Kluyveromyces lactis: one gene and its partner. Each later gene encodes a partner of the first gene's protein in a complex. Links are inferred from orthologs where the notes say so. Each region holds a gene or a part of one and is shown on either strand. Other genes may lie near its edges.

Region 1 (6,451 bases):
CATCCCAAAACACAGCCGTGAATATCTCACCTACTGTAACAGAACGTGAAAAGCCTAGAATTCGTTACTGGAATGAATTTGATGACGGAGAAGAGGCAATGGATCAGGACTTTTATTCCTGTCTTGACGAAGACGATGACGAATACACACACGATACTGGTCTCATCAGATTTAACCCATCATTCATAATTGCCATCTATCATCTCTTATCGAAGTTCCAAATTGCATTCGGTATAATTGACGACGTCCAAGCTAGGAAATCTTTATTAAGAGATGCAGGTAAGTCCTACAACTCAATAGACACTGACACTTCCATACTTACTTCTTCTTCTTCGGAAAGAAACGACGTGAATAAGTTTTGGGAACTCGAAGAACAAAATTCAGAATCAATATATGAGTTCGAGCATGACCAGGTGATATCTTTCTTCTATGTTTCTTCATTGCTAATATCCTGTTTGACTACAGGCGTAACCATTGGTATCATGACATCTTTGTTCAAATCACTCAACGATGATACACAACTAGAAAACGAAACTTCTATTTTGACGATGATATTCATATCATTATCCATATCCTTAATTCTCGGTGCATGGTCTTTGTTATTAATGTTTTCAAGATTCACGTTTGCACCTACTTGGCATTATATTACTGGTGTTGTGATCTTCATTATCATAATCTTTGCAGTATGTTATGGATTTATAGAGTTGATATTGTAAAGCAATTTTATAATAGTACACAAACTTCAAAATGTTGATTTCATTTGGATCTATGATTTCAACTAATGCATTAATTAATTGTATATTAGATGAATAAATGATATATTCAATTCGTACATTGACATGTTTATGAATGGCTTTTCTTCAGTTTCTTTTTCCTTTTTTCGTGTTCCTTTAACCAAGCTTGCTCCCTCTTATCTTCAAGCTTCGCCATTTTTGTAGCTCTTTCCTCTTCTTCAAAGATCTCCATTTCGTTAGCTTCCATATCGTCGTCATCATCTGAATCAAAGTATTTCCTTTTACTACCTTTGTTGAAGATAGACCAAATTTCATCTCTATCGTACGGTTGTGATTTGGAGCCTTGTTCACACTCGTCTAAATCATCATCTTCAATAAAGTCTGAGAGATCTTCGTCATTCTCACTGTCATAATGTTGATCTCCGTGTCTTGCCATAATTTGTTTCTTTTCTTTAAGTTTTAACTTCTTCGCAAGCTTTTCGTTTGGTTGTGCAAAACGGTTGAAAGACTTTACCATCACTTTCGACTTCGGTTCTTTTACAGGTTTAGCATCTTTCGTTGCCGCCTTTGGTTTAGCGGCTTTATCAAATCCGAGTTTCTTCGGGAGCGGCTTCTTGTCTTCCTTTGGTCCTTCCCTAGACTTCTGCTCTGCTCGCTTCATTAATTCATCAAACGATAGTTTCTTGATTGGCTCCCTTTTCGGTACCACGACAGGATACTTTCCGCTTGTGGTATTGACACCAGGTTTTTTCTTATAAATTGGAGCCTCATCCTTCGGCGATGACGCTTTATGCCTGGCCTTAGCAGCAGGTTTAGTCGATGTGGATGATATACCTTGCTTCAACCTACGCGCTTCCTTTAATCTTTGAATAGCCGGGTCAACTTCACGAACGTAATCCTTGGGAAGTAGTTTTTCTTCAGATTGAAGAGATTTAGCTTTATTTTGGTTTGCGGAATGATTCGGTTCATTAATCTTAGTGGTCTGCTTCAACTGCTGTAACTTAGCCAAGAAGCTCATTATTTTGCTATATCTTTGAAGAGAGCAGGAGTACTGGTAGATAGAATATCGATTAATGTATACTCACTGCACCGTAGCAGCGGTTAACAATACAGTCTTGTGCGATGATTGCTTTTGATCCACTGGTACATCAACTTCCATCATGATGCTTATTTTATGTTATGTATTGTTTCCATATTATTACATAGTCATTAGATACGCTACACTAATAGTTCACGTGATCTTGAGATTTATTCTGATTCATATTGAAATGAATCATCGTCATCCGATTGCGATCCAACTTCTTGCAAGAACTGTTCGAACTCATCAGCGATTTCGTTTGGCTCCGTGTTACTTGGTTCAGCGCGGTCTAGAGTTGCTTCACCATAGGTCACAGGTGGATGTTCAACTTGTTCTGTTTCAGATTCTGCATGTTGTAATTCTGGTTCAGGCACGAATCCACCATCCATATTAGAATCAAGAAGGAACCCACCTTGTTCGAAACCGCCCATTTCTGTGTCTTCTCCCGTATATGATTCGTGATCTTCTAGATCGCTATCTCTTTCACCAGAGTAATCTCTGCCGTCTTCATCTGCCACCGCACCATGTTCTTCAACCAATCTACTTTTGATCCTGAGTTTGGTAAGAAGGAGTGACCAGCCGTTCAAAGCCTCAAGCTCTAATTCATGTCTAGCTGCATCATCGTTACATTCTTCGATATTTTCTATTACAGCAACCAATGCGTCGACGTATTCATTCTCGACAACAACGCCGGTGACCTTAGGTTTAACTCTTCGTCCCGATTCGAACTTGAAACCCGTCACTGCTTTTGCAAATGGAACACGTAAGAAGCTTGCAGCTTTAATCGAGTTTGGATTTTCTACGAGACAACACCCTATTGGAATCATCCATGGTTTATAAATGTCAATATTACCGTAGAAATTAGTAGGGATTTTACCATCAGCATCCACTTGCTTAGGAATAACATACTCAGTCTGACCAATGGGGTAAAGCCTCTCTTCATCTTCGTCTTCTTCGACAGGATTCTTTATTTTGTGTGTCAAAAGATGCTTGGCACCCGACTTCAATGCTCTTCCTTGCATGTACCAGTGCCTAGCACTGTAACAAGATATTACATCTTTCCTTGGAAAAACTTTGAGAAGGGAGTTTGATTTATTACGAAGTCGAAGGAAGCCGCACTGCTGAGCACCCGGTTTCAATACCTGGTTTGCTCTCAAATCTTTCTCTAAGACGTAGAACGGATGATTCTTAATGTCTTGTAGGCTGTCTGGGATTCCCTCGTGTTCATTACGCAAATCAAAATATTCATCCTCATAATCATCAATCCTGTTCCTATTACGTTTATTCAAAAACTTTATAATGCTGTTAAACCATTCGTTCAGTTTAGCTTCTCTTGTAATCCTCTTTTTTCGAACTTTATTTTGTAAATGTGCTATGTATCTCCGAGATACATCTTTGCAGCCTTGTTTTCTATCGAAAGCGATGACATATCGCATCATATTGAAGGCTGAATTTATACGACCTATTGGTTCTAGTTTTGATTTATAACGCACTTGTTCAATTATTTCTTGACCAACGATATCGATAGTGATCCATTGTTTCGCAAATTTATCCCATACTTCGCACCAAAATATCGGATACTTTAGGCATTCATTTTCCAAGCTCCAAACAACTCGCTTATTGTAGATCTTACTATCAGTGAAATCGGGTGGTTGAAGGCTATGAATGAGTCTTGCGTTCAATCCACAACCTCTCAGCATGGTGACAAAACCCTGCACACTAATATTGGCTGGTCCACGCATCCTTGTGAAAAACTTTTTGAATGTTTTGAATGTGACACTTTCACACTTGTGCTTCAACACCGAATCCCAATGAACCATATATAAATGATTGAATTCGTACGGTGAAGTTAGTTCTAATTTGAACTTTTTGTTCCAATGTTTCATCAACATACGTAATGCATCGAGCAACTTCCGGGTACTTCTTAATGGCATCTCATCATCCTTTTGGGGATGTAGATTATTGAATATATCGTCAGACACCAGTTTAGCAAGCTTTTTCTGCAACTTCTCGTCGTTACACCATTCGTTCCTCTGATATGAGTGGCACACGAGAGTAAGTAGCATGAACATATGACATGTTTTACGAAATTCTTTCACTGCAGGGTCTAACCCATGCTCAGTTTTCTTCTTCTTCTTCGTAGACTTTTTCTGAGCTGATGTATCTATAGTAATTGATATATTTCCATTGTTAGCAGGCGCATCAGTGACATCTTCGAACTCTTCACTATCATATTCATCATCATCATCATCATCATCATCATCATCATCGTAGTTATTCTGTTCTTCATCGTCCGATTCGATGGTAATAACGACACGATTGCTCTCCGATTCCAATTCTGGTTCCTTCTGCAAAGACCTTAATTTGCGTCTCTTACGAGGTGAACTGCTACCGCTTCCGCCAGTTTTTTCCTCCTCTTGAAGTGCATCCTTAATCAAATCAAAGTATTCTCTTGATAATCTTCCGTCGTTCATTCATGAAAAGAAAACCGTTATTAAACTGAGCAAAACTAGCACTTAAAGATGAAAACTAGAAATAGAGTCGAACCTTCTTTGCATTGAAATCAACCCCGTAACCTGGTTCAACTGTGACTCTATAACTGTTCGTTATTTTCCTTGGCATACTACACAAAATCGGTTCCTTTTCCTAGGTTCCAATTTAAGCTTTTCAATATCAAAAAGAAAAGCTTTCAGTCTTAAATATGTCCTTTCAAGAATGTCTGCTCTCCAAAAGGCAACATACCTTTTTATCAGCTGTAGGGAGGTCGTTGGTAAGTGCCATCAGAGTTTCAAGGGTCTAAGTACGGTTGTCTAGTTTATTGCAGGTTGCAGGTACAGGATTTAAGCCAGAAGAAAGTCATCTTCAAATTTATTACTTGTTTATTCTAATCTTTTCGAGGGTTTTTCAGTTTAAATCGAACAATTGTTTTCGAAAAAGCGCAACTCAAAGGGGAGACTCTATTTTCTTTCCAACTCCCTAGGTAATAGCTGACCGTAGTTTCTGGTTCTGAACTGAAATCAAAAGATGTCTTTTGACCTGAGTCCGGTAATGTCACCAGTGTTTCCTTCGGATATTCATTTGGGAATACCGAAGGACGCTACTCCTTTAGCGAAATCAAGTTCTTTCCAAGTATACATTCAACTTGCTGAGCCTATAATCTTTTTGCAAGGGTTTAGTCCGACTCATTGGGAGGGAAGACCACCTGCTATACTAAGAGGATCGTTGATTCTTCGAGTCTTAAAATCTACAAAATTGAAATCTATTAATTTAACGTTCAAAGGTACGTCAAAGACAGAATGGCCTGAAGGTATTCCACCAAAGAAGCAAGAATTTGTAGAGCTCAATGATGTTGTGAAACATACGTGGCCTTTTTTCCAAAGCGATTTGCAAAGTGTTCCAAATAACCAGTCAACAGAGCCTGCTGATTTACTGAAAGGGAGTAACGCTTCGTTATTCAGGCCTTTGCACGATGATATGGATAAACCAATGGCCAGGAGGCATAGTAATGCACAGATGCGGTCTCTTTCTCCAATAGGGAATTTTTTAAGATCTACTTCAAAGGACATTCCAAATGTCAAGATGGTATCTGAAACCTTTTGCGACATGCTTTCTATTTCCAATTCTGTTAGTGATATTTCATCGGTGAAGTCTAACGGAAACTCGTCTTCAGCAACTCCTGGTCCCTTCATATTTCATCCAGGTGATTATATTTTTTCCTTTGAGCATGCTATTCCATTATCGTATCCAGAGACTATAACTGCTACGTTCGGTCAAGTTGAGTATTTTTTGCTTGTGAATATCGAACGTCAAGGTGCTTTCAAGTCAGGTGTAAACGCTAAGCTACCTATTACAATTGTAAGGACACCATCCGATAACTCAGTAGAAGAAACTGAACCTATTGCAATTTCCAGAGACTGGAATACTCATTTACATTATGATATCATGATTGTTTCCAAAGACATTGTGCTTGATGCATTTCTACCAATTGCATTTCGAATTATGCCTATGGATAAAGTCGCGCTACACAGAATAAGAATATTCTTGACTGAGACATTAGAGTACTATTGTAAAGGCAAGAAAGTTCACAGGCTTGAACCAACTAAAAAATTCCTACTCACGGAGCATAGAGCTCCTCCCATAAAAGATTTACCACCAGATGCGGTACCTACTAAAGCTAAATATTTGGGAAATTTATTAGAAGATGAACATGGTGATTTGGTAACTAGGGACTTCAAATATCAGGTATTTTTCCCAGAAAGGCTTAATTACCAACAAAAGATTCATCCGGACACTTCATATGGGACCATCAAATCAAATCATTGGATTAAAATTAGTTTGAGATTGTCGAAGAATGTTGATGGCGTCAAAAAACACTTCGAAATAAGTATTGATTCACCTATTCATGTCTTGAATAAGCTTTCTTCTCACGCAAATACATTGCTTCCAAGCTACGATACTCATGCCGCTATTCCCCACAGTGGCTCTGTACCATTCGGTGATTCTGATTTTAATATGTATCATGATTCGAATCTATATTTCCCAAAACAAGTCATTAACTCACCAGTTATGTCTCCGGAAGTTCAACCATTAGATGAGAAAATTGGATTATCACCTGTTTCGTTAAGTCCTGTGGCCCACA
Region 2 (5,470 bases), on another chromosome or scaffold:
AAAAGCAATTCGTACGGTAGGTCTTTTTTTTCTACTTTCCCATCGTCTTCTCCCTTGCTATTCTAGTCTGCTATGGGGATTGTATGTTTTCCAAATGGCATATTCTAGTTTTTTAACGGCATTCACTGACAGATCGAAGTCAATAATATAGGCAACGTTGGCACATAATTGTATCGGTTGCGGAACGATTTGTATAATGTACAATTTTGATACGTAGTTGTGTATAATTCATCTTTGATGGCGAAGAGCTGGGTGGATTCGCCAGTCGACAGATCCAAAGAACCTGAGGCCGCATTGAGGGAAACAGGCACGGACCATGATATATCACCGTACACGGTAAGCTCACGGAATCCTCTCGTAAGCAGTAGGAAAAAGGGAAACCCAACGATGCCCGGGTAACATATACATATCACTATACACGTATTTATTTGGTCCTTTGATTGCCGCCTGGCATTCCCAGGCATTGGAATGAGATGAAACATGTCACGTGACTGTACGGGAAGAACAGACATCCGCTATCTTTCCAGCCTTTTTGTTCCGTTATGTTGAATGGCCGTAGTAGAGGTTCTGTTACAGTGCGAAAAGGCGGTAATTGAGCCGGGAAAAAGTAGAGTTGCTTCTTATCTACAACAACTTACGGTCCCCAACAGTGCCCTGAGAGTTGAATCACTGGTTCCCACACCTTATAACTGCGTGTAGGGTCTGGCAGTTCCTTTTTATTTACCTTTTCCAAATTTCAGTTTATACACTTTTTTTTTTTTTTTTTTTTTGGCGAAGAAATTGAAATGGATGAAAACAATGCAACTATACAATCGAAAATAGTAATATTTTATAAGTATTTATTATGGCACAGACCATATTATCTGTTGCAAACGCTAAAGGAAAAAGGTTTGTCATTTAAAGCAGCCGATTATTATTCCAGAAGGTGTCATAATACACAGGGTTAGCACCGCCCAGGATTAGTGAGAAAGGAAGAACACATAAGGATCTTTTGACGAGCGTGCATTTTATAGATCTATTGTGAAAAATTGCGGTATCAAAATTTCTTCGAACAATAAAATACAATCGCTAAAGCTGTGGAGGAATAAAAACATCCGGATCCATCGCTCTTTACTTTTGAAATCACTTCTATTCTCGATTCCTGGAAATTCAAATATTCTACACAACGTCATACAACCGTCATAGATGGGCAGCAAGGGTAAGAGCAGGTTCAATGCCTTGACTGCTGTGTCCGTGATAGGATCAGTGGTAACGGGGTTTCTTATAATTCGAATGATTTTCCCAATCATATGGCAGTTCGTACCGTTCGTCTCAAGTCCTGTAACTGGTAACAGGTTCAGAAATATACCTGGAGTGGAATATTACGATTTAATTAATTATCAGGGGAATGCCAATGGATGGCAGACCGGTGATAGGGTGGTGTTCTGTGTTCCTTTGAGAGATGCAGCCGCACATTTGGATATGTTCTTCGATACCTTGGATAAATTGACATACCCACATAACTTGATTGATCTTTCATTTTTGGTCAGTGATTCAAGCGATGATACCATGAAAACACTTCTTTCTCATTTGAGAAGAGCTCAATCAAACCAAGACAAATCGAGAAGATTCGCTAACATTGAAATTTTTGAGAAAGATTTCGGTCAAAGTGTGGGTCAATCGTTTTCTGATAGACACGGGTTTGCAGCTCAAGGCCCTAGAAGAAAATCCATGGCCAGAGCTAGAAATTGGCTTGGGTCAGCGGCTTTGAAGCCGTATCATTCTTACGTGTACTGGAGAGATGTCGACGTTCAAACTATACCGAATACTATTTTGGAAGATTTAATGCATCATGATAAAGACGTCATTGTTCCAAACGTCTGGAGACCTCTACCCGATTGGTTGGGAAATATACAACCATATGATTTGAACTCATGGGTTGAATCTGAGGGTGGATTACAATTAGCTGATTCTTTGGATGAAGATGCTTGTATCGTAGAAGGGTACCCGGAATACGCTACATGGAGAACACATTTGGCCTACATGAGAGACCCAAGCGGCGATCCCGAGGTCGAGATGGAACTAGACGGAATTGGTGGTGTTTCCATCTTATCTAAAGCTAAGGTCTTTAGAACAGGTTCTCATTTCCCTGCGTTCTCTTTCGAGAAACATGCTGAAACTGAAGCCTTTGGTAAATTATCACGTAGAATGCAATACAGTGTTGTCGGTCTACCTCATTATGTGATCTGGCACATTTACGAACCTTCAAGTGACGATTTGAAACACATGGCCTGGATGGCCGAGGAAGAGAAACGTCGGGTTGAAGAGCAAAAAATTCAAGAGTTCTATGCTAGAATTTGGGATATTGGTTTCGATGACGTGAGAGATGAGTGGGAGCTAGAAAGGTTACAAATTTTGAAGAACATTGATCCGAATGTCCTAGATAGGAAGATTCAAGTGGACTGGTCAGATGATGATGAAGCAGATGATGGTTCAAGGAACGGAGGAAATAATCAAGATTCACATGAAGTACCACTGGACTTTGATCCTGCTCATTAATAATTTTCTGTTTAGGCAGTGAAGAGTAAAGAAGATTATAAAACCCACAAATACATTCTTCACTAACGAGATATTTTTTAAAAAGATATCTTAACCATCTAATTTCAATTCTCATCGCTTCCATCCCCTATTATTATTCAATTATTAGGCAGACTGTAACACGTTGGAGTATCTAGTTGTACAATATGCACCTTAGATCATTATCGAGGTTTTTATCAATAGACTTTTTTTTACATTTACGTTTAAATGCATTATATACTAATATTGTACTTGCAATAATCTGTTCATTTTGTTTACTTCAAACCATATTACTACTGGTAACTATTACAGGCAAGCAAATACTGAAAACACGTTATCAAGCTGCATTAAGCTGTAATTTTCAGCGTATTCCGGAGTTCTGCATCTTGTCAGATACCTTCAGTTTTTTTTTTTGTCAACATCGAAAATGAAAGTTGAGAACAGTGAAAGAAATTGAAATTAATGCCAAATCAACTTGAATCTGATGGCTGGGTGGCAAAGAAGATAAAGTCAAGAAAACAACCGTTGAGACAAAGTCCAAGAAAATCACAAGCATAATGCTTATTAATTTTAAAGATTTCAAAAAGGAAAAACTACCTATTGAATTGGCGGATGATGCCACCATTTCACACGCCAAGGAATTGATCGCTGAACAAAAACAGTGCGATGCATCTCAAATAAAGTTGATCTACGCAGGTAAGATACTCCAGGATCCTAAGACCGTATCAGGATGCAATCTTAAGGAAGGGGATCAGGTTATATTCATGATTAGCAAAACTAAGAAAAAGGCTGATGTTAAGGTAACTGAATCCACAACTGAACCCCAAGATGAATCTCAAGCCACTGCTTCTGCAGAAACTTCTGCAGTTGCAAATGCACCTGCGGAAGCTACAACCACTGGTACAAGAACAGGTACTACTGCAGTTACACAAGAAGAAGGGACGACTGATGCTTCGTTTGTCACTGGTTCTCAACGTAACGAGACTGTGAACAGAATCATGGAAATGGGTTATGATCGTGAACAAGTAGAACGTGCGCTTAGAGCAGCATTCAACAACCCTGACCGTGCAGTGGAGTATTTGCTTATGGGTATTCCTGAAGCCAGTGAGCCATCGCAGCAACAAGCTGAAGCTGTAACTAGTGAAGCTGGGGCGAATGCTAATTCTGAAGTTGCAACAGACGTGCCATCACAATTCACTGAACATGAAGACAATTTATTTGCACAAGCAGAAGCCAATAATGGCGAGCAAGGTCATGAATCCGCTGCTGGTTTAGGTGGAGAAGAAATGGGCACAATCGGATTGACTATGGAGGACATTACACAACTTCGTGACGTTGTATCTGGGCGTCCAGAGGCTTTAATGCCACTTTTCGAGAGTCTAAGCACGCGTTACCCACATCTCCGTGAGACCATGCTGCAAGATCCACAAAGGTTTATCTCTTTGCTATTAGAAGCTGTTGGCGGTTCCCTAACCGATTCTTTGGGTGAAAATCTGGGAGATGACATAGCAGAAGGTGATCTAGGTGATTTCGGGGGACAAACTCAAGGCGCGCCTCCCAATGTTACTATCTCAGCAGAAGATGAAGAAGCTATCAATAGACTTTGCGAGTTGGGTTTTGAGAGGACCTTGGTGGTGCAAATCTACTTCGCATGTGACAAAAACGAAGAAATTGCTGCCAACATGCTATTCAACAATTACGCTGATTGAATGTAGTATGATTTTTCAATAAACCATCGTCTCTTTAGGCATGTAGGGAAAGAAGAATATGTTCAAAATAGAAAACAAAAATAATTATCTCTACCAAATTTGTTTAATAATATGGAATATGCGTACTCATATCTCCAGCATGTAGTGTTTGCCAATCCAAGTATGACCTCTATACCGTCAGATTTTCCTACTACAGCGAAGGCATCCCACATATTCATCTTCCAATTTTTGCACACATACGCACTCATAATGAGCAGTTATACTTAACCAACCTTAGTCAATCTGCAACAGACGGAGCGTGGTATGTTCGATCTCTTACTTCCAACTTCAAGTAGGATTTGTGTTACAATCAATCAGATATCCCCTTCATTAATTTTTTTAAATTTATTCATCATTACACTATATCCTTAGTCCCAATTCAGAGAACCAGTGTACCTTAGACATGTCTTATATAGATGAGAAGTTATTAAGCGCTTTATATTTTTCTGCATTAGATACCGGGTTGTTTCCAGGCCTCAATGCCAAGATGGTGCTGATGCCTACATCCAAAGCTGCGTCTAACTCCTTGTCATTGTCGCTAATAAACACAACATCACTTGCTGATGATGGAGGCACTCCAATGCTTTTGAGAATATTGGTGTAAGATTGAGGTTCAGTTTTCTTACCGGACGTGTTAATGTCGAAGTAGCCAGCAATGGATTTCGTTAAATCGATGTCCCCTTCTACGTGTTGGAACAAGAGTATTTGCGCCTTTACTGACCCTGAGGAGTATATGTAAACATTAGGAGCATGTCTCTGAATGAAATCAATTGCATCTGGATACACTGGCGCCTTGATCTCACCACTCTTGTAACCCTGCTCCCAAATATACCCTTGTAATTGCTTCAACACGGAATCCTTGATGTCGTTATTAACTAGCGATTCAATATGTTCATGCAAAGAAGAAGCATCTTGTGGGACAGGAAATTGGGCAAGTAAGTTCTGCAAAGTAGGGTCATTAGTCTTGACAAGAGATTCCACCTGTTTCAAGAAAAAAGGGTATAGCGTGTCTTTAACAAATGAGATAGGGCAAACCGTACCTTCAATGTCCAAGATATATTTCAATTGACTCATTGTCACTTAATTGAAATCTCAGTTTTCCAGTAAACGCAAATAACTGTGCCTTAAAGCTCTTTTTTCTAATGACTGTGATTAATTCCAAGCTC

Evidence for each region.
Region 2: the proteins of RAD4 (region 1) and RAD23 are in contact, whole or in part, in a crystal structure (PDB 2QSF), measured with the Saccharomyces cerevisiae proteins. The link is inferred for Kluyveromyces lactis from reciprocal best matches to the Saccharomyces cerevisiae genes RAD4 and RAD23. Residues at the interface, in NP_011089.4 of Saccharomyces cerevisiae: Lys138, Arg139, Tyr142, Phe143, Met145, Leu146, Tyr147, Val149, Cys150, Leu151, Val153, His154, Phe156, Ile157, Arg158, Trp161, Gly224, Leu225, Arg228, Ile233, Glu234, Ser236, Lys240, Arg241, Lys242, Phe243, Lys244, Thr245, Leu246, Lys247; in NP_010877.3 of Saccharomyces cerevisiae: Leu265, Arg266, Gln267, Val269, Ser270, Gly271, Asn272, Pro273, Glu274, Ala275, Leu276, Ala277, Pro278, Leu280, Glu281, Ser284, Leu290, Arg291, Ile294, Met295, Ala296, Pro298, Glu299, Phe301, Val302, Leu305, Leu306, Gly347, Ser348, Phe349.

Annotation. Positions count from the first base shown.
Region 1 is NC_006042.1:1,339,599-1,346,049, reverse strand, and holds RAD4 (Rad4p), read right to left. Parts: upstream 4,287-6,451; coding exon 1,983-4,286; downstream 1-1,982. Other genes in the region: VTC5 (Vtc5p), read left to right, coding at 1-716; SPT2 (Spt2p), read right to left, coding at 844-1,752; ALY2 (Aly2p), read left to right, coding at 4,837-6,451. UniProt on the Saccharomyces cerevisiae protein: Involved in nucleotide excision repair of DNA damaged with UV light, bulky adducts, or cross-linking agents.
Region 2 is NC_006041.1:1,973,430-1,978,899, reverse strand, and holds RAD23 (Rad23p), read left to right. Parts: upstream 1-3,113; coding exon 3,114-4,265; downstream 4,266-5,470. Other genes in the region: KLLA0_E22177g (uncharacterized protein), read right to left, coding at 123-512; ANP1 (Anp1p), read left to right, coding at 1,186-2,538; putative acireductone synthase UTR4, read right to left, coding at 4,713-5,378. UniProt on the Saccharomyces cerevisiae protein: Plays a central role both in proteasomal degradation of misfolded proteins and DNA repair.